Linked DNA regions of Pelodiscus sinensis. The protein of the gene in region 4 interacts with the protein of the main gene of each other region in a pairwise test. Links are inferred from orthologs where the notes say so. Each region holds a gene or a part of one and is shown on either strand. Other genes may lie near its edges. The genes, in order: RAP2B, CCM2L, ACOT7 and calcium/calmodulin-dependent protein kinase type II subunit beta.

Region 1 (7,182 bases), on a different chromosome or scaffold from region 4:
TAATAATAACTTTACATTTGTTCCCTCATCAATTCTGCATTTTCTCAGGCCATCCAATCTTTTTTATAAGATTATGAATCATGTGGTTCACTAAGACATCTTAGATGAATTGTAATATAAACCAATTATATCAGCCCCAAAAGCAGGCTGCTTTTCAGACAGTAGAAAGTGAAGCAATACGTTAATATACTCTTGAGGTGTTTTTGGATGAAAGATGTTCTATAAATGTAAGATTTATCACTATTAATATTACTTTACAACTCACAGAACCTGAATGTCACAATATGACATTTAGTATTACTTATAGCTCCAAAATTAAATTATGAGTGAAACTTCTTAGTACATGGGAAAGAGCTTGTGATCTCAGATTGGGCTGTTTCACGTACATCTTGAGAGCTCACTTTATAGTTAAAAATAGGACTTAAATGGATATTCACTAACAAAAGGAAGAGACATTCTGAATGAAGTTTCTTATCCTATTTTACATGTGTATATTGTATCTCTGATAGGGTCAGATCTAGTAGAGGTCATGGAGGCTCAGGGTCAGGTTCAATCAGCTCACAGACATTTACCTCCCCCTCTCATCCCCCTTCTGTTCTGAAATTTGATTTGTCTTTTCATATGTGTTCATTTTTTTTGATTGTATCCTTTGGTATATATGGTTGTGCCAATTTTCTTCCACTATTTGATCTGAGGAAGTGGGTCTGGCCCACAAAAGCTCATCACCTAATAAACCATCTTGTTAGTCTTTAAAGTGCTACATAGTCCTGTTTTTTGTTTCAGCTACACCAGACTAACACGGCTACATTTCTATCACTATTGTACTTGCCAGTGTTCTGAGTTTATTTTCAAGAGATGTATGTGTACTTCAAGAAATTGCCCAGTGTCACAAACTGAACAATAAACCCGTAGGGATGCTAATGAATAGTTGACTAGACGATTAACCCCAGCTGACCCCAGGCTCCATGCGGCATTTCAAAGTGGCAGCACTGCATGGAGCCTGGGGTCAGCTGGGGAGTCCCACTGCCACTTTGAAGAACCCCCTTCTCTTTCCCTCCACCCCTACCCGCTGCATCTTTCTGATAGAGGCAGCAATGGGGGAGAGCGACTAGTCAACTAGCATGTTGACTCTCTGATAAGCATTTGCATCCGATAAGTCATTCACATCCCTAGCGCTGGGAGGAGCCAGCTTAAAGGTCGTTTCCCCCCAGCACCAACTCTGCAATGCTGCCTGTCCTCCTCACCCCAATACACACACACTGCTTCTTCTATCAGAGGCAGCAGTGGGGGTGGGGAGAAGCAGGGGAATCTGAGTGAAGTAGCCTGTGTCCATGGGTGGCGGTCTGAGCTCCCCATGGACAGTAGCTGCTCTGCATCTCCCAGAGCAGCTTCTGTTCACAGCAAGCCTGGGCCTGTCGTGGGCAGAGGCTGCTCCGCATTCCACTCTGAAGGAGACCCTGTTTGCGGCAGACAAATTGTATCAACTATATGATTAGCTTGGTAACCGCAATTTAACATCCCTAGTGCATGGTTAATATTTTATATGTATTATTACATCCCTACTACCGGCAAAAGAGAGCTCTTCTTACCTATCACTACCACCATGCTGAGAAAGCTGTCATTCTATTTCCTTCATCTCCTGCCCCCAACTGTCCTCCACGCATGCCTCAGCCTCACTCCTGTCTCCCTCCCCAGTACTCTGATCCACTTACCCCATCCAGCTTTCACAGGCTCCTGCTCCTCCTCTCAGTCTCTGAGTCCAAGCCAATTCCCTGAACCACAGAGTGGCAGCTATTTTCTCTGTGGGCCTGGCTTTAATTTAATCGAAAACAGTGGGAGGTGGCAGCCAACTGTATTAAGGATAGTATCACTTCCACATGCAGACTACAAGGAAACAGTGGCCATCTTGATGGCTAAGGACCTTTTGACAATAATAGGAGCCAAACATTCTGAATATGGTCTGAAATAAATATAATGAAATTCAATTAGGACAAATACAAAGTACTCAAGTTATCAAGGAATAATCAGTTGCACACATACAAAATGGGAAATGACTGTCTAAGAAGGAATTCAGCAGAAAGAAATCTAGGGGTTATAGTGGACCATCAGCTAAATATGAGTCAACAGTGTGATGTTACGGGGGGGGGGGGGGGAGGAAGCAACCATCATTCTGGGATTTATTAACCAGGAGTGTTGCAAGCAAGACACAATAAGTAATTCTTCCACTCTACTCTGGGCTGATTAGGCCTTAACTAGACTACTCCAGTTTTAGGTGCCACATTTCAGGAAAGATATGGACAAATTGGAGAAGGTCCAGAGAAGAGCAACAAAACATTATTAAAGATCTAAAAAACATGACCTATGAGGGAAGATTGAAATAACGGGGATTGTTTAGTCTGGAAAAGAGAAGACTGACAGGGGACATGATAATAGCTTACAAGTATCTAAAAGGTTGTTACAAGGAGGAGGGAGAAAAATATTTGTATTAACCTCTGATAGGACAAGAAGCAGTGGGCTTAAACTGCAGCAAGGGAGGTTTAGAATGGACACTAGGAAAAACTTGTCAGGGTGGTTAAACACTGGAATAAATTGCCTGGAAGGTTGTGGGAACTCCATTATTGGAAATTTCTAAGAGCATGTTAAACAAACACCTATTAGGGATGGTCTAGATTAGGGATGTGAAAGACTAGTCAACTATTCGATAAGCAAATGCAACAAACTTGTCAACTGGTCTTTCTGATAGAGGCAGCAAAGGAGGGAAAGCAAGAGGTCCTTCAAAGCAGCAGCCCCACGTGGAGCCTGGGACCAGAACCTGGGCTCCATGCAGCACTGCCACTTTGAAACGCCGCTGTGGGAGCCCAGAGTCAGACTCTTTGCGGCGTTTCAAAGAGGCAGTGCCACGTCCCCAGCTGATCCCAGGCTTCGCGTCCCCAATGCCAGGTCCCCAGCTGAACCTAGGCTCCGCATGGTGCTGCCACTTTTCAGCGCCATAGAGTGCCTGATTCTGGGCTCCTGCATCAGCATTTCAAAGTGGCAGTGCCACAAGGAGCCTGGGGTCAGCTGGGGACTCGATCCTGGACTCCACATGGCGCTTTTGCTTTTAATGTGTAGCAATAACCCTAGAGCTGTTTCTACACTTCAAAGGTGGAGACAACCTACCAAGTAGTTGAATAGTCTATGCAAAATGCATCCACTATTTGATTAGTCAATTACCGGCAATTTAACATCCCTAGTCTAGATGTGCTTGTCCTGCCATGAGCACAGGTTACACATCTACTCGATAGTCCCCCGGGGTGACTATCTGATAAAGAGACTAGGCTTAATTACTTCTTATGGTTCTTTCCAGTTCTATAATGCTATGATAGAATTATTATGATCTGTATCAGAGGTAGCAGCACAGGTGGGGGGAAGAGATGAGCTGGTGTGCATAGGGAGCTGTGTTTTAGGCAGGTACCCAAATACATATGGAAAGGAAGGCGAGAGGTCCTCGGGGGGCAAATTTAGACTGCTAGGTAAGAGAGTGAAGACCAGGACCTCTATGGCAGCTTTCTGTGAAATGTTTCCATTTTGATGCACAGGGCCAGCTGGAGAGGGAGGATTGCAGGGTCTCAATGAGTGTGACCATGCTGTAAAGAGTAGCGTGGCCCCCTATGGACAGAGGCTGCTGCCACCCTGCATTGCTGCCTCCCTATCAGAGGCAGCAGTGCAGGGCGGCAGGCAGCCTGTCTGCAAGGGGCGCTGGTTTTTAAAGTCATATGCTGTTAACTCTGATAGAGAGGCAGCAGCACAGGATGGCAGGAGACTCCCCAGGAGTGGGGCTGGAAGCTCTGTGGCCATCCCCTAGGACTATGGAGTAGCGATGTAACCGTAAGATGTGGTGCGGTGACCGCACTGTTCCGTTACACCGTTCTAGCATCCCTAGCACCCCTCCCGTCTCCTGCCTTATCCAGCCCTGGGGCTAAACGGGAGCTAAGGGGAGTTTATCCCGCCGCAGCTCCTGCCCTTTGCAAAGTATCCGCCAAAAGTCGCTGACAGGCGGGCCGAGTGACAGACAGCGGCCGGCCGGCCAATCATCCGCCTCCCTCTGGCCACCCAATGGCGGACGGGCTCAAACCTCTGAGTCAATGAGGCAGCGCGGCCTGACGGGCTCCTCGCGGCGGCCAATCCCGCGGGCGGGCGGGGGCGCGTGTGCCTGTGTGGTCCCCCTCCCCCTCCCGAAACCAAGGGCGGGGGAGGGAGAGGGTGGCGTTTAGCGCGAGCCAATGGGTCCGGGCGGGCTGTGAGCGAGGCCGCGGGGAAGGGATGGCCCGTGGCGGCGCGAGGCGGCACCGCGGGACTGCCGCACCACGCGCTGGCTGCCGGGGGGCGATGAGCCCTCGCGCGCTCCTCCCCCGCCCCGCCGGCAGCTGCCGCCTCCCCGCCTGCCAGGGCTGCTGAGCTCGGGCACGGCGCCTGCCTGGCAGAGGGGCTCGCGCTGCCCTCGCGTTGCGCCGGGGCTCGGCCGCGGCTGCCTGGCCCGGGAGGCTGGGCGCTGCCCTTGCCGCGCCAAGGGGGCTGGCGCTGCCCGGGCGCTCGCCGCTGCTGCCGCCTCTCCCCTCCCGTCTCCTCCCCCCTCCCCCTGCCGCCTGCCGGCTGCATGCTCACTCCGCTCCAGTGAGAGCCGCGGCGGGGCGGCTTCTCTCCCCTCCCTCCTTCCCCGCTGCCTGGAGGTGGGAGGGAGAGACGAGACCCAGAGAGGAAGGAGCTGGGTGTGCGGAGCGGAGCCATGCGAGAATACAAAGTGGTGGTGCTGGGCTCGGGCGGGGTGGGCAAATCCGCCCTCACCGTGCAGTTCGTGACGGGCTCCTTCATCGAGAAGTATGACCCCACCATCGAAGATTTCTACCGCAAGGAGATCGAGGTGGATTCCTCCCCCTCGGTGCTGGAGATCCTGGACACCGCCGGCACTGAGCAGTTCGCCTCCATGCGGGACCTCTATATCAAGAACGGGCAAGGGTTCATCCTGGTCTACAGCCTGGTCAACCAGCAGAGCTTCCAGGACATCAAGCCTATGCGGGATCAGATCATCCGGGTGAAGAGGTACGAAAAGGTGCCCATGATCCTGGTGGGCAACAAGGTGGACTTGGAGGGCGAGAGGGAGGTGTCGTATGGGGAAGGCAAAGCTCTGGCTGAGGAGTGGAGCTGCCCCTTCATGGAAACTTCAGCCAAAAACAAAGCTTCAGTGGACGAACTGTTTGCAGAGATTGTCAGGCAGATGAACTACGCTTCCCAGCCCAACGGGGACGATCAGTGCTGCTCGTCCTGCGTGATCCTCTGAAAGGGCTTGGGGGGGCCGTGTCGTTCGCAAAGGTTTACAACAAAAAGCAGCAGCAATGTGATCGTTCGAAACAAAGATTGGAAACAACTTTGCATACACAAGGATTCCAGGCGGCAGCAGCAGCAGCTGCTGCTGCGGCAGTGATCAGTGTCATGGGGTGGGTGTATTGTTGGAAACGTGGCTTTTTCAGCATGTACATTTCATCTATTTTGATTGTTGCATATTTCCCGTAAGTACAGATTGCTGTATTGGCATCTGACACCAGTAAGAAAAGTTTCGTCCTGGAGAAAGGGGAGTTTTGTTAGCAATTGTTTTCTAACTGGAAGAGTTAAATTACACCTAAGGAACTGAGGGGAACAGTAAACGAAGAACCATTGCAGAGGGGGGAAGAAATCTTTCCGAGGACGTTTAGGAAATAAGATTGGTTCTCTCTCTTCTTTAGCCAACCTTGAATGCACCCTGTGACTATGATATTGATTCTGAGGATTTCTATGCAAAGTTGGATTATTGTTACAGCGTATCCAATCTGAAGTATTGCACATTTGAACTGGGACTTGAAAACACTGATGCCAATACAGTGTGGGGTGCCAGAACGTGTCTGCTGATCATTTGTGAAACTTTATATTTTGTTTACCTGCTGTATCTGATGGGACTTTGGGGGAGAGCGGTAGTATTTTTTTTTATCAGCTGTGAAAATGTTACAAATCTGCACAATATTTTTTTAGTTGTGTTTTCTTTTATTCAGGGGGGAGGGAGGTTTGTGGTGGTGGTGGTGGTTTGTTTTCCTTATTTTTGGGTTGGCAATAACTGATTTTGATTAGCTCTCTAAAGTACAAAGACTTCCTAAATGTGATACAGGGCCAACAGCAACCCTGTGTCTGTAGAGTGCCTTCAAAACTCAGCTGTTCCAGCCGGTGCCAACCTGTGAAAGCTCCACAGAATCCCATTATCTACTACTCCAGAAACTACTTAACAGCTTCCTTTGAGTAATCATACTGAACAAGCCAGGACAAAAAGGCCTATTGTTTAGTGGAATTTATTTCTTATTTCCATGTGAGCCTTTTAAATGTCATTTCCACATCTTCCAAATTTGGACTGCATTTAATTCAAATTTACAGGCATTTAGTTTTTTGGGACAATTTCTTTTGTTTTGGTTCTCTGATGTAGGATGTACCTCCAGCCAGCCAAGAGAGAAATCTTAATGTTGTGATGTATCAAGAACATTCTAACAACTGTAACTTTAATTCCAGACATGCGTTTAATGTCTACCCATTTTAAGACTTTTAATACAAATGTTTTGGGTTTTTAAAAAAAACAAAACAGCAAAACTGTGGTTTTTTTTTTAAATGTATTGTAAGGAAAACTAACTTTAATATGCGATCATGGCAGAAGTATGCTTTTTTTAATCGTGATATTTGTTTAACCAAAAGAACAGGATATTAATAATGGGGGATGGTTACCTAAAATCATGAAGCTAGGGAATGTTTCTATTGTATCTGTTGGTAATGTTGCAAACAGTCGAATAATTATATTTAGGCACTGGTGCCATGAGATGCTGTATTCTACACTTATCTAAATGCTTGCTGAAGTCATTTGGGCTCTATGCAGAACAGCTTGCAGTATTGGAACCTGTTTTGTAACTTTAAGAATTAACATGGTTTATTTGAGCGTAAGTGTTGAAGGTCAGCTATTCTATTCATAAACTTAAAGACCTTACTGATTTTACTGAAAAGATACAGCTTTGAAAATTCTGCATTAAGATTGACTCTTTATTATTTTAAATGCAACTTGCAAAAGAGGGGGAAAAATGGGCTTGTCTATTTTTTTCCCTCGCCTCATTGATTTTTTTTTTTTAAATATGAAGA
Region 2 (7,978 bases), on a different chromosome or scaffold from region 4:
GCACGGCTTGGCCACGCTCCCTGCCGGCGGGTAGGTCTCGCCCGAGGTGGCTGGCGCGTGGTGCGGAATCCCCCAATCTGTGGGCTGGGGCCTCGTCCCACCGAGCTGGCAGGTGGCTAGGACAAAGGACACAGTCCTCTGGGACGGGCTGCTGGCAGCGAGCCGGAGGTGGTCGCTGGCGCCGTGGCCCAGGGCGGGGCTGGGGGCTCTGCCGGGCGGGTTTCGCTGTGCACCGAGCCATGGGCGGGTTCCTCGGCAGGAGCCGTCTCGGAGCAAGGGCTGGGAAAGGGATAACAGGGCCAGTTTTCTATGCACTCTAGCCACGGTCTCCACGCCCTCTCCCGGCTCTGGGGAGAGGGCCGATGCGCCCGAGCCGCTGCAATAACCTCCCAGCAGCTCGGCAGCTGGACCCCTGCAGCCGCGGGGTGGGCGAGGGGCGGATGGGGAGGCGGACCCGGGAGTCTTGCTGGTGAAGGGCACTCAGGAGGGGAATCCCTGAGCCCATGAGGCTCAGCCCACACGATCCCTCCGGAGGGGCCTCGAGCGCCTCACTCCTGCCGGACGGTTGCCAGGGAGAACAGGGCCCGGCCCAGCCGCACTGTCTCTCAGGCAGGCAGTCCCTGGCTAGTGTCGGGGGGGACTTGGTAGTCCGGCCCCCAAAAACAAGCCCATTCCCTGCTATCGTCATGGGACTCATAATAGGGCTGAAAAAAGGCCCCAAGGGAGCGGGAAAGCTGCCCACAGCCGCTGGGTGTTACGTTCCCCTCAGAAGGTGCCGGGCACATGCACCGCTGCGCCCCACACGCCACCCTGACCATAGCAACGCCGGAACGGGCCCTTCCCGGGGGGGGCGAGGCGGGGGCCATCTTGAAATCAGGAGCCAGAGGCGGATTTTGACCCGGCTCCCCTCAAAAACATCCCAAACCATGATTTTGGTCCAGCCAAAGGGACAAAAAAGTGAGCCCAGGGCCAGGTTCAGCGCCTGCCCCCTGCGGTAAGGACGGGGGGCTCAGCCCTAGGGCTGGGTTCTCCCTACTGCACGAGAGACGGGTGCCGGGGCAGGGCCGCTCGCCCCCAGCACCTTGCGCGGAGCTGTTGGTGTCTCCCCTCGCCCTCCCGTCCGGCAGCCGGGAGCACTTCCGTCGTGTACTGTAAATACTGCGTGTGCCACCTTCTCCTTCCTTCCCTTCCGCGGGAGGCAGGCTGGGCCGGGGCGGGGGGAACGCGACCGAGGTTCTGTACTAAGACTTTTTTGTATTCCACAAACTTTTTGTATATTTTTAATTTTGCTGCGACATGAGATAATTAAATTCCTTTCAATACACGCTGCCTGCAGGCCTCTCCTTGCTCTGCCCTCGTGCGCCACGAGGCGTGTCCCAGCCTGGGGGAGGTGGGGGGGGGGGGGGGTGAGGCAGCAGGCTTCATGGGGCTGGAGAGAACCAGCTACCAAGGGACCTTCTAGCCATACCCGCAGCTGCCTTGTGGTAGAGCAGCGGCCAGGTTACTGCCCGCCATAGCTAGGAGCTGGTCTCTGTGATGTAGTGGGGGGTGCTGTCCATTCGGGCATTCGCTGGTCACTATGCTTGGGCTGTGGGTGACCCCTACTGGCCTGCGTCTGTAAGCACTGCCCAGCGGGGGTCGCCCTGAGGACCCTCAGGTCACGTAGTCCATGGCCCAACCCGTTCTTACCTGCCCAGGGAAGGGGTCTGAACAAAGGAAGAGTGTGGCCAGGAGAAGGGGCAGTCATGAAGAGAAGAGACTAAGCGGAGTGCGGGGGGTTCAGGGGCCTGTGGACCCCTCCCCACGGGGTCTAGGGCTGCCAGCCCCTGACTCCTTATGTCCACACCACGTCTACACTGTGCTGTGTCCTGGAGAAGCAATAAACCCTTCTCTGTTCTACTGGCTAGCGCAGTCTCATCTTGCTGCAGACAGGGTGCAGGATCGGGGGGTACCCGACGCGCCGCCAGTCTCCCATGGGGCAGAGTAGTCACAGCTGGTGGCAGTCAGAGCTGAGACTTTGCCTCACTTGTTTGTGGCTGAGCTGGGGGTGGCCCATGGCCAGAGGACGGGGAGCCAGGAGTCCAGGACTTCCTGGGTTCTGTTTCCAGCTCTGCCCCTAACTTCGGGAAGCTGCCTCAGTTTCCCCAGTGGCAAAATGGAGATAATGGCTCTGCTGCCCTTCCCAAGGGGAGCCACTATGTCAGTGAGGCGGGAGACACGCTGCAGGGAGGGAGCAGCATACGAGCATGTTGGTGTGATCCCCCTCCCCCAGAGCTGGGAGAGGGCAGGACACGTGCTTCTGAAAACATCCCCTCGATGTGCAGCAGCAGGCAAAAAAGCCAACAGAATGCTGGGAATCATTCAAAAAGGGAGCAAGAATAAGACAGAGACCCGCCCATTGCCTCTGTCTGAATCCAGCGTCCGCCCCCATCTTGAATCCTGCCGTGAGACAGTGTCGGGACATCGCCGGTCGCGAGGCTTGGGCTGTGGGTGACCCCTACTGGCCTGTGTCTGTGAGCACGGCCCAGTCGGGGGTCGCCTGAGGAACCTCAGGGCACGTAGTCAGTGACCCAACCGGTTCATACCTGTCGAGGGACGGGGCTTGTGATGGCGCGTCGGGTCCCCCTGATCCTGCATCACCGTAGCAGCAAGAACAGACTTGGCCGAACCGAGGGGTTATTGCTTCTCCAGGGTACAGCACAGACGTGACGTGGCTACAGGAGTCAGGGCCAGGATGCCGCAGACCCCTTGAGATGGGTCCTTGGGCCCCTAGATCCCAGCCCCCTCCTTAGTCTGTCCCCTTCATGGTTCCAGCCAGAAACTGACCCTTCCCCCAACACTCACTTCCTTTGTTCCATCCCTTCCTAGAACTGGTCCAGTCACTGTCATGGGGGCCCTCAAGGCGCCCCCGCTGGGCCGTGCTCACAGACACAGGCCGGTAGGGGTCACCTACAGTCCACAGCCCAAGCACAGCAACCAGCAAGGTAGGGACACTACGTCACAGGGCTGAACAAAGGAAGGGGCAGGTTTGGAGAAGAGTCAGTTTGGCTGGGGCAAACATGGAGAGAAGAGACTAAGCCAAGCGCTGGGAGTCCAGGGGCCTAGGCACCCCTACCCCAAGGGGTCTGAGGCTGCCTGGCCCTGACTCCTGTAACCACATCACATCTACGCTGTGCTGTATTCTATTCTACTGGCTGCCGGAGTCCCATCTTGTAGCAGATGGGGTGCAGGATCGGGGGGTCCCAGACATACCGGCACACCTGCGTGCAGATGTGGTCGCTCTATCTCAAAAAAGATCTCTTGGCATTGGGAAAGGTTCAGAAAAGGGCAACAAACATGATGAGGGGTTTGGAGCAGGTGCTATATCATATGAAGAGAGATTAAACAGTCTGGGGCTTTTCAGCTTGCAAAAGAGGAGACTAAGGGGGGACAGGATAGAGGTCTATAAGATCAAGACATGCATGGAGAAAGTGAAGAAGGAAAAATCAGTTACTTGTTCTCATAAGAACTAGGGGGTCACTAAATGATATGAATAGGTAGCAGGTTTAAAACCAACCCAAGGAAGTTTTTCTTCACACAAGGCACAGTCAACCTGTGGAACTCCTTGCCAGAGGATGTTGTGAAGACCAGGACTTGAGGGGCTGGCTATGTAGCCTCACTGGGTGGTCCTGGGTGATTCCCAGTGGGGGGAACTGCAGGACACAGCCGCCCAGGCTGGGCTTGGGAAGGATGCGCCGCACATGGCACATGGCGGGGGACCGACTTTCCACTGCCGGAGGGCACCTCGCAGGAAATGGAGCCGCCCAGGGGCTGGCCAGGCTGTGGGGACGCAGGGCGTGCGTTAGCACAGGCCGAGGGGCAGGGTCGGCCCGGACAGCAACGGGCCCGCCCCAGGGAAGGGACTGGCCCCGGGAGAGCGGTGCCGACTCTGGGGAAAGTCCCTGGCTGGCATCGAGTGGCCTTCACCCGGGGGCCCGTGTGCAGGAGAAATCACGGAACGTAGCAGCCTCGTGAGGCGCCTGACGCCAGCGATGCCCCAGCTCTTGCAGCGCCTGAAGGTCTGTCCCCTTCCTGCCCACAGGCTGGCGAGGGAAGAGGACATGTCTGCAGCTGCTGGGGCAGGGGCCGGGGCAGGGGGGAGGCGGGGACCATCCCTTCTGGCCAGGTGTCTCTCTCCCGCACTCCACGGCGTGGGCCAAGCCCGCTCCGAGCTCCCCGCAGTTCAGGGGTGGCGGGTTGGGCCTCCCATCAGCGTTCCCTGCTCACCAGCTGGGGTCCCTTGTGGGTGCGGATTTGGAGCCCTGCTGGTAGTTTCTGAATCCCCCAGGGTCTTGGTGCAGCCCCCACCATGGGCAGCATTTCAGCTCCCCGGCTCTCGGCTCTGCTCCGGGTCCCGCCTTGCCCGACAGTGGCAGTGCTTGGCTCCGGTTTGCTCGGGCAGGAGACCCAGGGGAGCCTTCGAAGACGGCGCTGGCAGAACCACCGCGCTCTCCCAGTTGGGTTATTAAAATTCGGTGGCCCGACCGCGCAAGGAGGCCAACAGCCCCCTTCCCGGGGCCGAGCGAGGGCCGGCATCTGTGTGTGATGGAGCCAGCGTGTGTGAGCAGGACAGACAGGCAGACGGCAGCAGCGCCCAGAGACACGGTGGGCTAGGGGCTGGGGCAGGTGCGAGCCCCTTAGGGGCGAGTGTTGCCCCGGGCGGGGGGGTGAGCAAGCTGGTTTTGGCAGGGCAGGCCCAGCAGCCCCTGCGCCCCGTCTGTCGGCCAGCGCCCAGCTCTCCGAGCCCTGTTCCCGCCCTGGAGGGGCAGGAACTCCACAAGGTCACGTCGGAGCCGGGGCTGGTGGAGTTTCCGACACAGGAAAAAAACAAAGGACTCGCCCGGAGCGGAAAGAGCTGCCTGGTCCGTGACAGGAGCGGAGCAGGGACAGGACATGGAGTACGAGGCCAAGAAGGGGAAGAAGGTACGTACCCGCCGAGCTGGCATTTCTCACAGGATGGCTCTGCGGGGCGGTGGGCCCTGGCGGGGCACAGTGCAGGGCACCGAGTCTTGCCCGGGGGGGAACAATGGCCCACGTGCCCCCCCTAGGCAGCGTGGAGGAGCAGGTACGTGGGAATTTTACAGAGCTGGCCGTACAGGGGAGAATGGCAGCCACTGGGGTAAGGGGAGCCCTGTGGCCAGCCGTGCTGCTGCCACTGGGATATGGGGAGCCCTGTGGCCAGCCGTGCTGCTGCTACCGGGATATGGGGAGCCCCATGGCCAACCGAGCTCCTGCCACTGGGGTATGGGGAGCCCCGTGGCCGCCGTGCTCCTGCCACCTGGATCCAGGGAGCCCCGTGGCCAGCCAAGCTCCTGCCACCGGGATATGGGGAGCCCCGTGGCCAGCCGAGCTCCTGCCACCGGGATCCAAGAAGCCCATGGCCAGCCGTGCTGCCACTGGTGTGGCTGGGGAGCTGGGAGCTGCATGCAGGACCCTGGGGGCTGAGCTGTCTCTCGTGGATGGCGAATTGCTCTGCCCTGCTCTGCCCTGCCCGGCCCATGGGATAAGATGGTGCAGATGAGGCTCTCTGGCCAGCTAAGGGCTTTCCCTTCAGGGGCTCTGTGCAGAGGGGAATACGCAGCCTGCCCCTTGGGTCTCTTACTCCCCTTTGCCCCTGCCACTGACCTGGGGCCGAGGCTTGGCCGGGTTTTTCCGCGAGGCAGCGGGCAGCCATCCAGCCTTCTGAGCTTGGCCCAGGAAGCACCCAGCTCCATCCTTGAGTCCTCCCTTCAGAGCAGCCCTGCCATTTCCTCCCTCCCCGGGGGCTGGACCTGGGGGGCTGTTCAGCCCCAGCCCACCCACAGGAAGGGCACCCCCAAGCCGCTCCCTCCAAACCCGCTGCCCCACCTGTTCTACGCTGGGCAGGCGCCTTGGGCCCAGGGCCTGGGTTCACTGGATTTGTTTCCATGGCGCCATCGGGGCCGACTCCTGAGGGAGCTCGCTCTGTCTCTTGGGAAAGATCCCCCCTCAGCATTTCCAATGGCCCCTTTACTGTACATGGGATCACCCCCGGGGGTGGGGGGGCGGCTTCCTCTCATTGGGGTTTGCTGTCGAACCCAGCGCCTGAGAGTCATGTTTGTACACGGCCAACGCCAGCCCCTCTGGGGCTGGGGACGAGGTGCCGGCTTCTCACCCGTCCTCTGTTCTCAGGGGTTTGTGTCGCCCATCAAGCGGCTCGTTTTCCCCAAGGCGGCTCGCAGGCCGGCGATCAGGAGCAGCGTCTACCGGCGGCCTCTGCATTCGGTCCCTCTCTACCCCCCCGACTACCTCATAGACCCCCAGATCCTGCTGCATGACTACGTGGAGAAGGAGGTGAAGGTACACAGGGGCAGCCCAGCCGCTCAGGGGCCGTCCCCGACGCTCAGAGCGGGGCCCAGAGGCCTGCCAGGGGTCCCTGTTGCCATGCTCCAGGGTGGGGGCTCACCTCTGGCTGGGGCACGGGGTGCCTGGCCTGCCCCAGGTGTGTGGGAATTGCCCCCGGTGATGTGGAGTGAGGAGACAGGCCAAACTGGGCTGAGCCGTGTCTGCCACAAACACACCTGGCCCCTGGCTCTTCCCTCGGTCCCTGGCCTCTCCGGGGCTTGGCAAATGCCCAGTTCCCAGGTCACCGGGCCCGCGAACGCCCGGGGGAGGCTGCGCTGAGGGGAGCTATTTGAGCTGTGAAGTGACCAAAAGTTTCAGCTTCAGAGCCACGTGCCCGGCAGGGCCCTTTGGCAAGAGCAGGCTGGGCCCCAGGAGCCGGGAACCCTCCTGCAGCGGCCGCCCCCTCGTCTCATGGGCTCCCCTGGACACCCCCTCCCTCGGCCAGGATCAGCGCCCACCCCCTGTGCTTGTTTGAGGGGGAAGCACATGTTGCGGCCACGGGTTCCCCCTTCACTCGGAGACCCGGGGCGGGACTCAGAGAGGAGACCCCTCCCCTTGTGTCCTGCAGGGGTATAGGAATGTGCCCCATGCTGGGCAGTGCACCCCACACGGACCCGCAATGGGGGCTTGAGGGGCCCTGTACGCGCTCTAGCTGCCCCTGCGGGGTGAGCAGGCAGGAGACCCAGCTGGGGAAGCAGTTGGGGATGGGGGGCAGAGAGGGGATCCCACTAGGGAAAGACTCGGCAGACCCTCTCTGGGAAGAGAGCAGGGAGTCCCGGCGGAAAAAAGCCCCTGCAGAGAGGTGGGGAGGGGAAGAGCAGACCCCGTGACAAGAACGAGGGATCACCAAATGAAATGAATAGGTATCAGGTTTAAAACGAACAAAAGGAAGTTTTTCTTCACACGCGCACTGTCAACCTGTGGAACTCCTTGCCAGAGGATGTTGTGAAGACCAGGACTTGAACAGGGTTCAAAAAAGAACTAGATAAATTCATGGAGGTTCGGTCCATCAATGGTGATTAGCCAGGATGGGCAGGGATGGTGTCCCTCGCCTCTGTTTGCCAGACCCCTGAGGAAGGGGGAGACCCCAGATGGGGGGGCTGGGTTAGGCCCAGAAGGACAATGTGGGAGCCAGACTTGGCAAAGCGCAGGAGGGGGATCTGGCAGAAGCCAGCGGGGGTGGGGGGCGTACTGGGACAGCGACTCTGCCACCGGCTGCCTTCCAGGGTGGGGAGGGGAGCCGCCCCGTCTTGTCCCGGATGCTGCGTCGACGGCGCCTGGTGTCGGGCCCCTGGCGCCTCAGGCTCGTCTCTCTTCAGTTCTTAGGCCACCTGACCTGGGTGACGTCCTCCTTGAACCCCTCCAGCCGGGATGAGCTGCTGCAGCTGCTGGACACGGCCCGGGTAAGGGAGGGAGCCGCCTCCACTCAGCCCCTGTGCTCCGAGGGCCGGCGCCACTGCCCCAGGCTGCAGGGAGCGGACGGGCAGCCTGGCTCAGGCGGCTTTGGTGTGGAGAGGGCTGGCGAAGGGCTTCATGAGGAGGGAAGGGAGGGGCGGGGGGGGCCGCCCTCCCAGCC
Region 3 (7,905 bases), on a different chromosome or scaffold from region 4:
CTACAGAAAATCCTTGCAGATAATTCTAACTTTAAAGCATTTGGCTGGATGCCTACTCTGCCCCTCGCTGCCAGGGAGATAAATGGCGAAATCTCTCTCTTCCCTCCCTCCCCATAAATGTCCAATATTTGTAGTTGCTGATTTGAGTTCTGTCGTCTAGCTTCTGAAGAATCCCTCCAGCCCGGGCGCTTTGTATTCTCAAGATCGTGGATGAGAGCCAGATATATTCACCTCTGAATACGAGGCCGGCCCGGTGAGCTTGGAGTGCTCTGCACGCAGTCTTGTGGTAACTCGTAGGCAGGTAGAGGCTCGGCTGAGCCACAGAATTCTGCAGGACTTCTGTGCGTGTGTTTCTTGGACTGAAATAGTCACTGGTCTCCTGCGAGAATGCTGCGGGTGTGGCTCTCTGTATGTACCCTTCAGAGAGGAGTGCGACTTCTGCATGGTATCGTGGAGCCCAGACGGTGAGTGGGAGATGAGGGGCCAGGTACTGTTTGACGTGGCTCCTGCTAGCTCAGGTGGGATGAGAGCTCCCTTCGTGGATGCCTGGCGGAGGCGTGGAGGAGAGGATGCGGAGGCGTCCGTCTCTGGCTTTAACATAGCCAGCGACATCCAGGCCAGTGAGGTCTGGTCTTGTGACTGGGTGCATGTGAAATGGGACTGTACATTTGTGTGTGGCTATCAAATGGCAGCTGAAGTTGGACGGTGGCAAGCGGAGACTGGCTGGCGGCTTGTACAGGGTGTACAGCTTTCTTGGTGGCTACGAAGTGGCTGAGGAGCGGGATTGAAACTGCTGGGCTGAAGAGCGAGAGGTGCAGGCAGCTGCCCTCGGAGTTCGTGCAGCCGGCTGAGCGCGGTGTTTTACCAGCCGAGCAGCTGGCCTCTCCCCGAGGAGGTGGGATTGTGGAGGCTTTGTTTTCCCCATTGCGTTTAGCAGTAGGGTCACCGTCCTGGCCTGCTCTAAGGATGCGGGGCGGAGAGGGGGTGCTAACCAGTGAGATTAGGGGGTAATTTCCTGAGGGGTGTGGCTAGACTTGGGAGTGAAATGGAGTCTCTTGAATACATTCCAAACAGGTGTACTGCTCTGCTCCGTCCTTCTGACCTCCAGCCTAAGTCTGCCTGTGTCCAGGGCAGCCAGTCTGCACAAGCCTCACAGCAGAAGAGCTGGCTGTGGGCTGCGTGAGGCACAGTTCGACACAGGCAAAGCCCAGTGCGATCCGGTGACTTTCTCAACTTAGCCGGCCCCAGCAGACTGGCGAGTCTCGGGCGGCGCTAGGAAGGTCTTGAGCTCTTTGGTTAAAGCCGGGATGTGGTGCAGGGCCTAGGCCAGACTCCCTAAGGGGATCCAGCTGCCCATGACGCAGCGTTCCCTGGCATCTGGCTCATTCCATGTGGAGAAGGACTGGAGGGCAGGTGCATGCGCTGAGATGCTGGAGAAACCCCTTGTCCGCGGGGGCATTTCTGCTGGGGCTTAGGTCAGCTGGACAGCCCCCCAGGGTATGTCTACACTATCACCCTAGTTTGAACTAGGGTGGTTAATGTAGTCATACGAACTTGCAAATGAAGCCCGCGATTTGAATTTGATTTGCATGTTGCCAGGCGCCGCCAGGAAGCCTATTCCGAACTAGCTAGTTCGTGCTGCGTGTAGCCGCGGGCACGGAGTCCGCACTAGAGGACATTTAAAAATGGCGGCGCCTGGCAACATGCAAATGAAGCCCGGGAAATTCAAATCCCGGGCTTCATTTGCAAGTTCGTATGACTGCATAGGATCATAGAATAATAGGACTGGAAGGGACCTCGAGAGGTCATCGAGTCCAGCCCCCCGCCCTCAAGGCAGGACCAAGCTCCGTCTACACCATCCCTGACAGATGTCTATCTAACCTGTTCTTAAATATCTCCAGAGAGGGAGATTCCACCACCCCCCTTGGCAATTTATTCCAATATTTGACCACCCTGACAGTTAGGAATTTTTTCCTAATGTCCAATCTAAACTTCCCTTGCTGCACTTTAAGCCCATTACTCCTTGTCCTGTCCTCAGAAACCAAGAGGAACAAATTTTCTCCTTCCTCCTTGTGACACCCTGTGACGGCGCGTTGGGGGTCCCCCGTCTCCTGCACCCCGAAATGGCACAAACAGACTGCACCAGCCGGTGGAGTAGAGGAAGTTTATTGCCTCTCCACGATACAGCACAGCACAGATGTCATCTGATCACAGAGCTGGGCTAGGATGCCTCAGGCCCCCTTGAGATGGGGGAGACTGGGCCCCTAAACTCCAGCCCCTTTCCCTAGGCTCTCCTCCAGGCTCTCAGACAGCAACTCACTAACCCTCTTCCAGCCCTGCCCCCCAGCCAGGGCAGCATTCCCCCTTCCTTTGTTCCTCTCTATGGGGGGTGGCTGGCCATACTCATTTGCATAGTGACTCATCCTGTTTTGCTGGGTCGTGGTACCCACGGCAGCCAGTGGGGTTACCCCAGAGCCAGCAGCATAGAAACCAGCCAGGTACCCCCACTACGTCACACACCCTTTTAGATATTTGAAAACCGCTATCATGTCCCCCCTTAATCTTCTTTTTTCCAAACTAAACAAGCCCAGTTCATGAAGCCTGACTTCATAGGTCATGTTCTCTAAACCTTTAATCTATCTTGTCGCTTTTCTCTGTACCCTTTCCAATTTCTCCACATCTTTCTTGAAATGTGGCGCCCAGAACTGGACACAGCACTCCAGCTGAGGCCTAACTAGTGCAGAGTAGAGCGGCAGAATGACTTCACGAGTTTTGCTTACAACACACCTGTTGATACAACCTAGAATCATATTTGCTTTTTTTGCAACAGCATCACACTGTTGACTCATATTCAACTTGTGGTCCACTATGACCCCTAGATCCCTTTCCGCCATGCTCCTTCCTAGACAGTCGCTTCCCATCTTGTATGTATGGAACTGATTGTTCCTTCCTAAGTGGAGCACTTTGCATTTCTCTATTAAACCTCATCCTGTTTACCTCTGACCATTTCTCTAACTTGCTAAGGTCATTTTGAATTATGTCCCTATCCTCCAAAGAAGTTGCAACCCCACCCAGTTTGGTATCATCTGCAAACTTAATAAGCGTACTCTCTATTCCAATATCTACATCATTGATGAAGATATTGAACAGTACGGGTCCCAAAACAGACCCTTGCGGAACTCCACTTGTTATCCCTTTCCAGCAGGATTTAGCACCGTTAACAACAACTCTCTGACTACGGTTATCCATCCAATTATGCACCCACCTTATCGTGGCCCGATCTAAGTTATATTTGCCTAGTTTATCAATAAGAATATCATGCGAGACCGTATCAAATGCCTTACTAAAGTCTAGGTATATGACATCCACCGCTTCTCCCTTATCCACAAGGCTCGTTATCCTATCAAAGAAAGCTATCAGATTAGTTTGGTATGACTTGTTCTTCACAAACCCATGCTGGCTATTCCCTATCACTTTATTACCTTCCAAGTGTTTGCATATGATTTCCTTAATTACCTGCTCCATTATCTTCCCGGGGACAGACGTTAAACTGACCGGTCTGTCACCCTAGCTCGAACTAGGGTGGTAGTGTAGACATACCCCCACGGAACACAGGCTCAGGCCTCGTGGCTTGCGTTTGGCCTCTTGTCGTTCACGGGTACGTGAGCCCGCCCTCAGCCTGTGAAGGCCGGAGCTCTGCCACGCAAGTGCAGGTGTGGCTGCCGCTTTGTTGGCAGGAGCGTTTTCCTGCCAGGGGGAGTGTTGCCAGCGTGCATGCCGTGGACCGTGCACGTGCCGGCTTTTAGCAGCGGGTCAGTGTCGGCGCAGGCTTGCGGTTGAATGCTCGTAGCACGCACGTACGCATGGCAAGGTGCGCCTGACCCCTGCTGTGGAAGTCTCCTCCCAGCCTTGCTGCAGCCTCCCCAGGGCTGGCTGCCTTCCAGCAGCAGGAAAACCCCGGGCATGGGTGGAGGGCATAAGCAGCAGAGCTGCTGTGCCCCTCGGGGCTCCTAGTGCAGACGTAGCCTCGGGTGTGACTCACGCCCGGGAGCAGTGGGGCTGGGGTTCGGCTTGCCCGCGAAGGCGTAGTGTGGCGTGGCGTGCTGTCCTCCAGCTAGAATTGACAGGCAGGAGGAAGTGTTAAGGGCTTCCTGTCGGCCTTCGCTGGCTCTAGCTCCGCTGCCTTTGCCAGCTAGGCACGACCTTAGCGCTAACAAACGTTGACTGGTCAGTCGGTCGGGTGCCAAGGGAAATGAGCCTCTGCGAAAAGCCCGTCTCGTACTTCCATGCCCCTCCGGACGTCCCTCCCAAGCGGTCACAGGGATCCAGAGGGCGAGTGTAGGGACGTTCACTGGTGGCCGAGGGACTGACCCTCAGCGAGGGGACAGCGAGCGAGTGAAAGGAACCCTGTTCTTTCCTCCTCGCTCCTCTGTCTTGCAAGGGTCTGACGCCGTGAGCACCGAGCATCTGCCTTGATGGGAGTGGCAGGAGCTCTGCACCAGGCTGGGCAGGGTGAGGAGGGGTGAGCGTGTCGTGGAGGCTGGGCATTTGCTGCTTCCAGGCACAGGTAGCTCCCCACGCAGCCAGGGCCTGAACTTGTGGAACCCTTCCAACCCTCGAAGAGATGAGGGTCCCACGGGCCAGGGCAGAGGGCTTGGACTGGGGCCAGGTGCGGTGGCCCCGTTTGCGTTTCCTGGGCGTGCAGGGGTCAGCGGGGGTCGGTGCTGGGCCCGGCTGCGGGGAGTCAGTGCAGCCGAGAGCTCTGGGGAGCGCCCAGCTTTGGGCAGCGACTCCTTGTGTAACTGTGGGGCAGGATGATTCCTAGGACAGCTAGTTTTAAGTGAGTCATGCGGATTGGCTGAGGGCCCATCTTCCTGTGTTGGATGGGACAGCACAGGAAGCTGCTCAACTCGTAAGTTGGCGTGTGGCTGAGTTGGAGCAGCAGCAGCCGTGTGATGCAAACCGTGAATGAGTGCAGCCCTGTGCCTGCTCCGGCTGCAGCACGCACATTCGCCGGCTCCGGGGCGTCCGCCAGCATGGCCTGCGAGCTTGTCCGGTAGGTGTGCGGCGCTTCTCGTGTGTCCGAATTCTGCCGCGTAACGGGCAGCTCATGTCAGGCCACAGCGGGCGTCTCCCAGGGAAGGAGGGTAGAAAGTAGTGCACGCAGCTGGGGCCGGGCTGGCTGCATGGAGGAGGAAGCTGTCTGTCTGCAGCAGCCTCTCTAGCCCGTGTGGCAGTAGCGGGTGTGTGTGGGGCGGGGGGGCTCCATGTCTCACCAGAGCTGGCCTGCGCCCCCAATACAGCAGGTTTTGTGACCCGGAAACATTTGTGGGTTTGACACTTTCCCCAATGGTTTGGCTGAAGGGTGTGATGGGGGTTGATTCGCAAGGGGTTGGCTGCCATGCCCACTACAGCCCGAGGGCAGGAGGCGGTGGTGCCTTATCCCAGCCGTGAGCCCGGGGGCAGGGCAGTGTTCCGCTAGGATTACCCGCCCATCAGTGGGGCTAGCTTAGTTTTGTGCCCAGTATTGAGTCTGTGGGTGCTTGTTCGGGTGCGCGCCACAAGTTATTAATAAGAGCTTATAAACCTCTCCCTTTTCCCTCTGCTGCCATGTCTCCTCCCCTCCCTTCCCCTCGCCCCTGCTGCCCCCCACCCTCCTCTGCTGTCCTGCCTCGGGCCCTTCTCGCTCCCCTCAGCCCTTCGGGGACCCCCGCCCCATCCTCCTTGACCCCTGCAACAGCCCTTCTCTTCCCCCGTGCCCACTCCTCCCCTAGCCCCACTCTGCTCATCTGCAGCTACACTCCCCATCCCCTCCCTCTGCCCACCTGCCCTGCCTCTCTCCTCCGGGGCAGTTTGCGGGGGCTGGAGCCTGGGGCCGGGACTGCAGTACTAAAAATAGCACCACGGCCCCAAAGCCCCCGCAGCCCTGGCCCCAGCTGCTCCCGGGGTGGGACCGCGTGCCAGGACCAGAGCAGAGGCCGCCCACAGTGCTGTTGATGCTACTGTGGCCCCGAGCTGCCCCGGCTCCATTTGGAGTGAAGCGGCAGCCACACGAGGCCCATTCCCGGTGGGGCAGCCTCCCTGTAACAACCTCACCTCACACCCCCGGCTCCAGGCGGAGCAAAAGGGCAGCCACCCGCCGCCAGGAACCCGTCAGGCCACTGGCTGCCGCTGCACCCGCCGTCTGTTCCCGTGGGAAGGGGAGCGGTGAGTGGTGGTGGCTCTTGAAGGCCGTGAGCGGACCTAAAATTGTCAGTGCGCAGGCGCGCAGCTTAGAGGGACACCGGAGTAGGGCCCTGCCCCCGGTTAGAACACTCCTCGCAAAAGGGATTGGGGTGCAGACACGCCCACCAGGCTGTACTGGACATTCCCGGGGGTGGGGAGGTGCGCATATAAAACATAAGAACGGCCGGACTGGATCAGACCAAAGGTCCATCTAGCCCAGTATCCTGTCTGCCGACAGTGGCCAGCACCAGGTGCCCCAGAGAGGGTGGACCGAAGACAATGATCAAGCGATTTGTCTCCTGCCATCTCTCTCCAGCCTCTGACAAACAGAGGCCAAGGACACCATTCCTACCCCCTGGCTAATAGCCTTTTATGGACCTAACCTCCATGAATTTATCCAGCTTCTCTTTAAACTGTATTATAGTCCTAGCCTTCACAGCCTCCTCTGGCAAGGAGTTCCACAGGTTGACAACATGCTGTGTGAAGAAGAACTTTCTTTTATTAGTTTTAAACCTGCTCCCCATTAATTTCGTTTGGTGTCCTCTAGTTCTTCTATTTAGGGAACTAATAAATAACTTTTCTTTATCAGCCCTCTCCACACCACTCATGATTTTATAGACCTCTATCATATCCCCCCTCAGTCTCCTCTTTTCTAAACTGAAAAGTCCCAGTCGCTTTAACCTCTCCTCATATGGGACCTGTTCCAAACCGCTAATCATTTTAGTTGCCCTTTTCTGAACCCTTTCCAAGGCCAAAATACCTTTTTTGAGGCGAGGAGACCACATCTGTACACAGTATTCAAGATGTGGGCGTACCATAGTTTTATACAGGGGCAGTAAGATGTTCTGGGTCTTATTTTCTATCCCTTTCCTAATAATTCCTAGCATCCTATTTGCCTTTTTGACCGCCGCTGCACACTGTGTGGAAGTTTTCAGAGAACTGTCCACGATAACTCCAAGATCTCTTTCCTGATTTGTCGTAGCCAAATTAGCCCCCATCATACTGTACGTATAGTTGGGGTTATTTTTCCCGATGTGCATTACTTTACACTTATCCACATTACATTTCATTTGCCATTTTGTTGCCCAATCACTCAGTTTGGTGAGATCTTCTTGGAGTCCCTCACAGTCTGCTTCTGTCTTGACTTTCCTAAACAGTTTGGTATCATCCGCAAACTTTACTACCTCACTGCTTACCCCTTTCCCCAGATCATTTATGAATAAGTTGAACAGGACTGGTCCCAGGACTGACCCTTGGGGGACACCACTAGTTACCCCTCTCCAATCTGAACATTTACCATTTATTCCTACCCTTTGTTTCCTGTCTTTTAACCTAAAAACTGGACTAGTCGTTGGGCTAATGAGGGGCTGGTGCTTTGGACCTGGGTCTTCACGTCCCAGGTGAGTGCCCCGCCCGCTGAGACCCCACCCCTCCTCCTCTGGGAAGCAAGTCCGTTCCAAGACCCAAAAGAGGAGATGTCAGCTCAGCTGCTGGCTTTGCTGGACCCAGATTTTCTGACACGCACAACATTCCCCAAAGATTTGAATTTGGTTTGACCTGAATTTTTGCAATGGCCAGTAACGAGCAGACTCGGCTGTGCACCCTGCTGCCCTGCTCTTGGCCTGCCCTGGGATCCAAGACTTGCAAGCCTCTTGCGCTTCCTTTAAACTCTTGGACTTG
Region 4 (7,250 bases):
GCCCTGGTCTGACTTCCTCCCCAGGCTGCGACTCATGGGACCGCAGTGCTGACCCAAGCTCTGGGGGTGGACCAGTGCCCAGTGTGGCCGGCCTGGCCAGGACTCCCCACAAACAGAGGCCATCTTGCAGTTAGAGCGCCTGGCCACGGAGCCCCGACGTCTGCACACACCTGTGCTGCAGAGCCAGACCGGCGCTTGCCTGCTGCTTTCTCCCTCCGCTTCCTGGTCTTTTCTTGCCTCGCCTTCCCAGACCCACAAACCCTGCCAGCGTCAGAGCCGGTCAGCCCCCTCGCCGGTGCTTCATTTGTGCCCGGCTGAGCCCTGGCACCTCCGGGCCTGGCGGCTCAGAGCCTGGCACCTCTGGCCTTGCTGTGTCAGTCATGACGTTTTAAAAATTGCTTGAGCTTTGGCCCTTCTTTCATGGCATCTGAAGCGTGACCCCTCTGCCCACATGCGCCTCTGCTTTGGGTGGTGACCTGGCCCTGGGTTGGCTTGGAGGCCCCTGTAGCCCCGATCCTCAGAGGCTCTGAGCAGTGTCTTACAGCCTCTTCGCATAGGGCAGCCATAGGCGGGTTAGACCAAAGCCCGGCCAACCCACCCTTCTGCATGGTCCTGGGGACCCCGAGTGCCTGTGCTGACCCACATCGGTGCAAACGCAAGGAGAGCTGCCGAGGCGCGTTCATAACCCCCAGCTCTCCCTGCACGTTTCCCAGCCGCACGGGGGAGCCCCTGGCCCTCTGGTCCCTGGGCCGGCTCTGAACAGGGTCAGAAGTCACAGCGGCTGGCAGAGGCCGGGAGTTGGGAGCTCCTGCCTCACGCTGCTGCTTGTTTCTGTGCCTGCTCCGGAGCAAGGGCTCCTGCTCTGCACCCGTCCCCCATTCACCGAGAACATCGGCGAGATGCTGCCCGAGGGCGCGCCGGGGTCCTGACGCCACACCTGAGTTTCAGCCACACTGACCTGCCCAGTCAGTGAACGGGGCACTGCCGGTCGGTCTAACCACTAGACCCCACTCCCCTCCCAGAGCCTGCTTCCCAGCCTGGTCCTGCTGCCTAGCCAACAGCTGCATCCTGCCCTCTGGTGGCTGGTCCTGACAGAGGCCCATGTAGGCCTTGTCCGCAAGGGACGGTCGCATCGCCGAACCCAGTGAAGCGACTTGCCTGGGGAGGCTGAGGCAGGATCCCGCCACAGGGAGCCCTGCGTGGCCGCGTGCTGGCGCCAGGCCTTTGGCGTTAAGTCACAGGCGCAGTGAGGCCAGGGCAGTGCTGGAGAGCGCTCCAGGCTCCTGCCGCTGCGGAGGGGAGCGGCCGGACAGCAGGCAGCCCGGCTGCTGATCCCTGGCGGCGGGCGTGAGCGTGAGAGAGCCTGAGCCCGCCCTGCACGCCAGCCCGGAGCGTTAAATCCACTCGAAGGCCCCAGCGCCCCGCACGGCAGGGCACAGGTGTCCTCTGTGTCAGCCACTTAATAGCCATCACAGGGGCCAGGCAGGAGCAGGCTCCGTGGTGCAGCACCTGCCCAGAGTAGTGCAGACCGGCCCAGGGTCAGAGCACACAGAGGCCAGCGGCCAGGCCCTGCTCCGTCCCAAATGGTCAGTTAGCTTCCCTGTGCCTCCGCTTCCCGCTTTCCAGCGCCAGGGGCTTCCCTGCGTTCCGGGGGCAGCGCTGGCGACGAAAAGGGGAGGGAAGAAATTGGCGTTTCCGATTCGTCCGCTAGGCAAGGCGGGTGCTGGGAGGGAGAACACGCCGGTCCGTGGGAATCGTGTGGCTGGAACACTCCAATGGCCTCTCTCCTGTCCGACCCCGGCGGAAGGCGGACAAGCTCCCGGAGAGAAGGCAGCCGGGCCCTGATCTTTAGGCGTTCCCCCCTCCCCCGAGACGCCCCCCGGGACACGGCCCCTGGCGCTGAGTGGCGAGGCTGCCGGGTGGCAAACCGGGAACGTGGCCTCGGAGCCTTTCGGGCGCCCCTCCTGCAGTCGCTGTAAAGCTCCCTTCCTGTGGGCCTGGGCCCCGTCTCAGCCCCTTCCAGCGCCAGGTGGCTGCATGAGACTCCCCTTGCATGTGGAACAAGGCGAGTGTCTCCCTGCGCTGGGGAGAAGAGCTGGCAGACGTGGCCCCTCAGCACCCAGGAGCCCCCCAAAGACCCTCCTGGCTCTGACGCTGGTCTCGCACTGGGGGCTGGCCCCAAAGGGGTGAGGGAGCTGACTGGCTGTGGCTGAGCACAGCTGCTGGGCGAAAGCGCCGCTCCCAGGAGAAGGGAGGGGAGACGGGGGCGTGTGGAGCTCCCAGCTTGGGCTGACATCTGCTCTGCCTGGGGTGGGGCAGGCAGGCCAGTGGCTCTGTCTGCGGAAGTGGATCCTTGGTGTTTACCAGGGGGCTCCCTTCCTGACCCCCTGCAAGGGGAGGTTCAGGGCCCTGGTGCAAAGGGGGCGAAGGAGCACAGGTGGGGCTGAAGGCAGGGACCTGTCTGCCTCTTTGTTAGCCCAGAGGGAGGCGCCTTAGGCTCACCAGGCTGGGTTGTGAACCCCGGGTTGGAGCAAGCCCAGAGAGCCGAGCTAGAGATGAAGAAGCTGCTACACCCAGCCCAGCCATGACCCCTCCTAGAGCTCCATTGCAACTGGCCCCAGCCCCCTGGCGCTCCCTGTCCTGGGTCCTCTCCCCCGTTGCACTGGGCACATTGTGCCCTGGCTCCGTCTCCTGCCCCCCGCTGGCAGGGCGCCCCTTACGCAGCACTGCTCTCAGACGCCCCTGCTCTCCAGCGAGGTGGCAGCAGCACCAGGGCTCTCCGGAGCGGGCTGGCGTGGCACAGGGTTGTGCTGGGCCCGGGCGCCTTGCTGGAGCTGGAGCTGGGGGCGCTGGGTGGCCCGTGGCACCGGCACTGGGTCTGAGTGGGGCTCGTCAGTGCGGCTTGGCCTCACTCCCTGGGTCGCGGGCACAGACATCTCCTAGCCCACAAGGCAGCCTGGCTCCCCCGGCTGCCGCAGGAGCGATGGCAGGAATCCGCCTCCACGCTTGGGGATGTCCGCACTCCTCTCCCCCTCCCCCGCCATTGCCACCCCTGCGCCACGGTTACTGGGTGACAGCGGGCAACTCCCCGCCCCACCAGCTCCGGGCCTCGGTTTGCCCACCCACAGGAGGGGCACAAAGCCGCTGCCCCGTTGGCAAGGCGCCCTGAGATGCCAGTGAGAGTGAGGCAGCTTCCACTGAAACTCAAGTGCAGTTGCCTATGGGCCTCGCACTGCAGCCGTGGCTCTCGCCCGCTCAGTGGGGCACAGAGGGCGCGTCGGCCCCTTTCCGGCCTAGGCGGGTGCAACCCCTGGCCCGAGCTCTGGAACGGCTGGGCTGGGCGGAGCTGGGCGCTCTGGGGGGGTTGCTCTCCAGCTCTCCTGGGGGAGGAGAGGGATGTGGCAGGGGGCGTGGCTTATTTGGGGCGCGTTGTCTCATTTACATATGCCTCTTGCGGTGCCTTTTGGCTGGAGGCCGGACATGCACCTTGCCCGTGGCCCAGAGGCGGGGCGGCTGGGCGCTGGGGGCGGGTGTTGAGGGGCAGTTCGCCGCCCTGGGGAGCCCGTCCCCGGGCCGCCCTTGTCTCCCTTGCTGGTGCCCCATTGCCAGGCCATGCGCCGTGACCCGGTGAGCCCCCCTCCGGCAGGGCCTGGGTGGCACCTGGGGGTGCGGCGTGATGGGCGCCCACCCCTCTGTACTGAGCATTGCTGGCCCTTCCGTGCCCAGCCCGGTGGCTCTGGACGGGGCGAGGGCCTGGCATGGCAGAGGGGGTGGGGGGAGGCCAGGAGGGGCTGTGTCCACGGTGCCACCTCCTTAGCAAAGGTCCTGGCCCCTTGGCAGACCCCTGCCCCCGCCTGGGGCGGGCCCTGTCATTTCTGCCTGGCTGGCCACAATAAGGAACAGACGGGTCAGGCAAAACCCAGCCCATTCACCAGCTCCTCCCAACCTGCCCCCTCCCTGGCCAAGTGCCAAACGCCAAGGGGGGGAGGGAGCTGTCATCTTGGAGCGGGGCTCTGGGGCTGGCACGTAGGGGGCGGCGGGACCCTCGGGGGGGGGGTGCTCCGGGCCTGGGGGGCTCTTCGCATGGCCAGTTCCTTGCCTCCAAGGATGTGGGGCTGGCACCACCCCATGGCCCGGGTGCAGGGCGGCGCTGGGGGCAGTGGCCCTCCCTTGGCTGCGGGGTCCCCCCCGCGGGGTGCGGGGCGGGGGGCTGGTGCCCTTCCCCCGGCGGGGCGCGTGTGTGCGGGGCGGGGGGGGTCGCCGGGAGCCGGAGCCGCTCGCAGAGCGCCTCGGAGCGCAGCGGGCTGGGTGGCTCCTGCCCCCGCCCCTGCCAGCCCCTCCCTCCCCCGCTGCCAGGCGGAGCCGGAGCCCAGCTCAGTGCGGAGCGAAGCGGCAGCCGCGATGGCAACCACCGTGACCTGCACCCGCTTCACCGACGAGTACCAGCTGTACGAGGAAATTGGCAAGTAAGGAGCCGCGGCAGCGCCAGGGCGCACGGGGCCGGGGCGCGCGGGCCGGGGGGCTGCGCCCTGCGGGGCCGGGGTCACCCTCCCTTGCGGGCTTGGTGGGAGGAGCCGGAGGCTGCCCCCGGGTGCGGGGCACGGGGCGGCTTCCCGGGCGCGGAGGGGGCGCCCCACGGGGGCGGCTGGACGATGGGCGGGTGCCCCCCGCCGGGGGTTCCCCTGGCCCGGACCGCTGCTCTGGCTGCCCCCCCCCCCAGCCTGCCCCTTGCTATGTGCCGGGCTGCGCGGCAGACCGGGGGGCAGGGGCCCGGGCTCGCTTGCCCGCCTGGGCTCGCAGCCGTGACGCACGTTGCGGGAGGAATGGGAACCATCTGGAGAATGGCACCAGCCCTCCAGCGGGTCCTTGTGCCAGAAACCCGAGATCCCCCGCCCCGGGCTCGCCGCGTATTTATAGGCTCTTGCAGCCGCCGGTATTTTTAGGCAGCGGCTCCGGCCGGGCTCCCCCTTCCCCCACTGCGGTGGTTTTTCTGCCCGGCTCGGCGCAGCCCCGGGAACCGCCACCCCCCCGCCCCGCTCCTCAGTTGCATTTGGAAGCGCCCCCCCCCCCCCCGCTGATTTTTGGCTGGGGGGCTCTTGGTGATGCCCCGGGCCGGGGGAGGCTCCGCTCACCCTGGCACCCTGCCCCAGGCTGGCAGCGCTCCCCCCCCCCCGCCTACAGGTTGCTACTGCCCGGCTGGGCTGCCCCGCCTGTGCGCTCGGCCCGCGTCCTCGGCTCTCGTGCGCGGGGGAGCCCGGCTCGTCGGGGCGCAGCTCCGGGGATGCTCCCCCCGCCCCTCCCCTCCCCTCGGCGGCTGCTTCCATGTCCCCCCCGCCCCCCGGCTGCCGGAAGCGACGCGTCTTTCGGGGGGTCCCTTCGGGCGGCCTGGGTCTGGGAGCGGGGGCGCTCGGCGCTGGCCCGGACGCGGGGCCTCCGGGGTCTCCAGCTGAGCCGCGGATGCGGGGCGCCCCCGAAAACAGCCAATCCCGAGCAACCGGGGGGGGGGGGCTAAACTGCGGCTCCGGCAGCCCCCCCCCCCCCCCCCCCCGCCTGCCGGCTTCCCCGGGCACCGGCTCGCGGCCCCTTCCCTGCTTCTGCCGCTTGGGCTGCGGGGCGAGGCCTCTTGGCTCGGGGCCGGGCCGGGCCACGGCGCGACCTGCGCGTGGGGGGGGGGACGTGACCCCTCCCGGGGGTTCCCGCCCCGCTGCAGCCCGGCCGCTGGGTTTCCCCGCTCTCGGAGGCCCGGGCTGGCTGGGGAAGGGCTGGCCCGGGGGCTGCGTGTGTCGGGTCCCGGGGGTCTCGCTGCGCGCGGCTGGCGGGTTCCACTCCCCCGGAGTCCGCGCGTGGCCCGGAGAAAGGCTCGTCCATGCGGCTCAGGGCAGAGCCGACCCGCCCACGCCAGGCCGTGTCGGTTTCCAGGGGCGCCACCTCCCCCCGGAGCTCGGGCTGGTCCCTGCCCCGCGGGCCCCCCCCAGCAGGGATCCACTGGGCTGCCCCGCCCGGGGGCAGGGAACGTGACGAGCCTCGGGGTTTCAGCCAGCCCCCGAACTGGCCCAGGAGGGGAGGGAGACACCTCCATGCCCCTTAGGCTGCCCTGAGAGCAAACGACCGCCCCCCGTAGCCATCCAACGTATGGGGAAACTGAGGCACGCCAGGTTCCCAGAAGTACTGCCGCAAACTCCCACTTTGGCCCCGCGTGGCCAGTCGTGAGGTCGAAGCCGTGGGTGGGGGCTGCCTCCTGGGAATAGATCAGCAGTAGCTGCCAGGCTCCTGGGGGGGGGGGGCGAGGGGCTGGGCCCAGGCTGCTGGGGGATGGCTCAGCTCAGGGTTCCCTGGGGTCAGTGGAGCAGGACTTCCTTGGGGAGGTGCCTATGTCCCGCCCCCTGGGGTGGTGTCTCCCCGGGAGCCTGCTCCCTGGCCGCCCGGTGCACTGGGCTTTGAGCCCTTTCCTGGGCCACGGGCGGAGCTGCTCCTGCAGGAAGGCCTGTGGCACGGAGGGAGCCAGGGGCCTGGGCTGTTGGGTAGCCCCCAGGCCCCTGCCCCGAGGCAGCTCACCCAGTAAATCCCCATGGCCCCTCCCCCGCTGTCTCGCCGGCTGCGGAGCCGAGTGGAAATCGCTGAATAGACGGGGGTGACTTCCAGGAACCAGGCGCTGGGCAGGAGGGAGGGGCTGGAAGCCGCCAGGCTGCTGGGTCCTCTGCTTGGTCCAGGCCAGGGGCTTGGCTCCTGGGATGGGCCCTGTCCGCCTGCAGCCCTGCTCTGTGGAGGTGGGAACGGGCACTGCCAGGGTGGTGCAGAGCAGAAGCTGGGCTGGCCGGGGGCGCTCACGGGACCAGCGGCTCTGAGCCAGGCACACGGCAAGAGGCGGCCATTCGCTGCGCTCGCCACCCGCTTCACAGATGGGGAAACTGAGGCCAGGAGCAGGGAAATGACAGACCCAGGAGGCTGGTGGCAGGACCAGTCCCCAGCTCCGTGGAGTCCCAGCTGAGTTGCTCTAGGCACTAGGCCACACTGCCTTTCTGGCATGGAGGGGGCTGGGGCAGCTGCACCCAGCTGGCCTCTTGGGCCCTTGTGGCGACGGCTCACACTGCCCCCCAGAAACCGAGGTGTGAGAAGGTCTGTGGCAATGCCCGGGAGGTGCCCATGGAGAGGGGGTGCGGCGCTGCCAGCTGAGTGCCCCATCACGTCAATGGGCAGGCGCAAGGCCAGGTATGGTGAGGACAGACAGGCTCAGCATGGGTGCAGCAGAA

The links.
Region 1: the proteins of calcium/calmodulin-dependent protein kinase type II subunit beta (region 4) and RAP2B interact in binary tests that used the Homo sapiens proteins (3 or more experiments, as listed by UniProt). The two-hybrid records come from large-scale screens. The link is inferred for Pelodiscus sinensis from reciprocal best matches to the Homo sapiens genes CAMK2B and RAP2B.
Region 2: the proteins of calcium/calmodulin-dependent protein kinase type II subunit beta (region 4) and CCM2L interact in binary tests that used the Homo sapiens proteins (3 or more experiments, as listed by UniProt). The two-hybrid records come from large-scale screens. The link is inferred for Pelodiscus sinensis from reciprocal best matches to the Homo sapiens genes CAMK2B and CCM2L.
Region 3: the proteins of calcium/calmodulin-dependent protein kinase type II subunit beta (region 4) and ACOT7 interact in binary tests that used the Homo sapiens proteins (3 or more experiments, as listed by UniProt). The two-hybrid records come from large-scale screens. The link is inferred for Pelodiscus sinensis from reciprocal best matches to the Homo sapiens genes CAMK2B and ACOT7.

What each region holds. Positions count from the first base shown.
Region 1 is NC_134720.1:28,159,890-28,167,071, forward strand, and holds the start of RAP2B (ras-related protein Rap-2b), read left to right. Parts: upstream 1-4,176; 5' UTR 4,177-4,765; coding exon 4,766-5,317; 3' UTR 5,318-7,182. UniProt on the Homo sapiens protein: Small GTP-binding protein which cycles between a GDP-bound inactive and a GTP-bound active form. Involved in EGFR and CHRM3 signaling pathways through stimulation of PLCE1.
Region 2 is NC_134728.1:1,517,889-1,525,866, reverse strand, and holds the start of CCM2L (cerebral cavernous malformations 2 protein-like), read left to right. Parts: upstream 1-4,968; 5' UTR 4,969-5,065; coding exon 5,066-5,104; intron 5,105-6,189; coding exon 6,190-6,357; intron 6,358-7,721; coding exon 7,722-7,805; intron 7,806-7,978.
Region 3 is NC_134733.1:24,105,456-24,113,360, reverse strand, and holds the start of ACOT7 (cytosolic acyl coenzyme A thioester hydrolase), read left to right. Parts: upstream 1-4,898; 5' UTR 4,899-4,955; coding exon 4,956-5,056; intron 5,057-7,905. UniProt on the Homo sapiens protein: Catalyzes the hydrolysis of acyl-CoAs into free fatty acids and coenzyme A (CoASH), regulating their respective intracellular levels.
Region 4 is NC_134738.1:4,672,338-4,679,587, reverse strand, and holds the start of calcium/calmodulin-dependent protein kinase type II subunit beta, read left to right. Parts: upstream 1-4,241; 5' UTR 4,242-4,401; coding exon 4,402-4,466; intron 4,467-7,250. UniProt on the Homo sapiens protein: Calcium/calmodulin-dependent protein kinase that functions autonomously after Ca(2+)/calmodulin-binding and autophosphorylation, and is involved in dendritic spine and synapse formation, neuronal plasticity and regulation of sarcoplasmic reticulum Ca(2+) transport in skeletal muscle.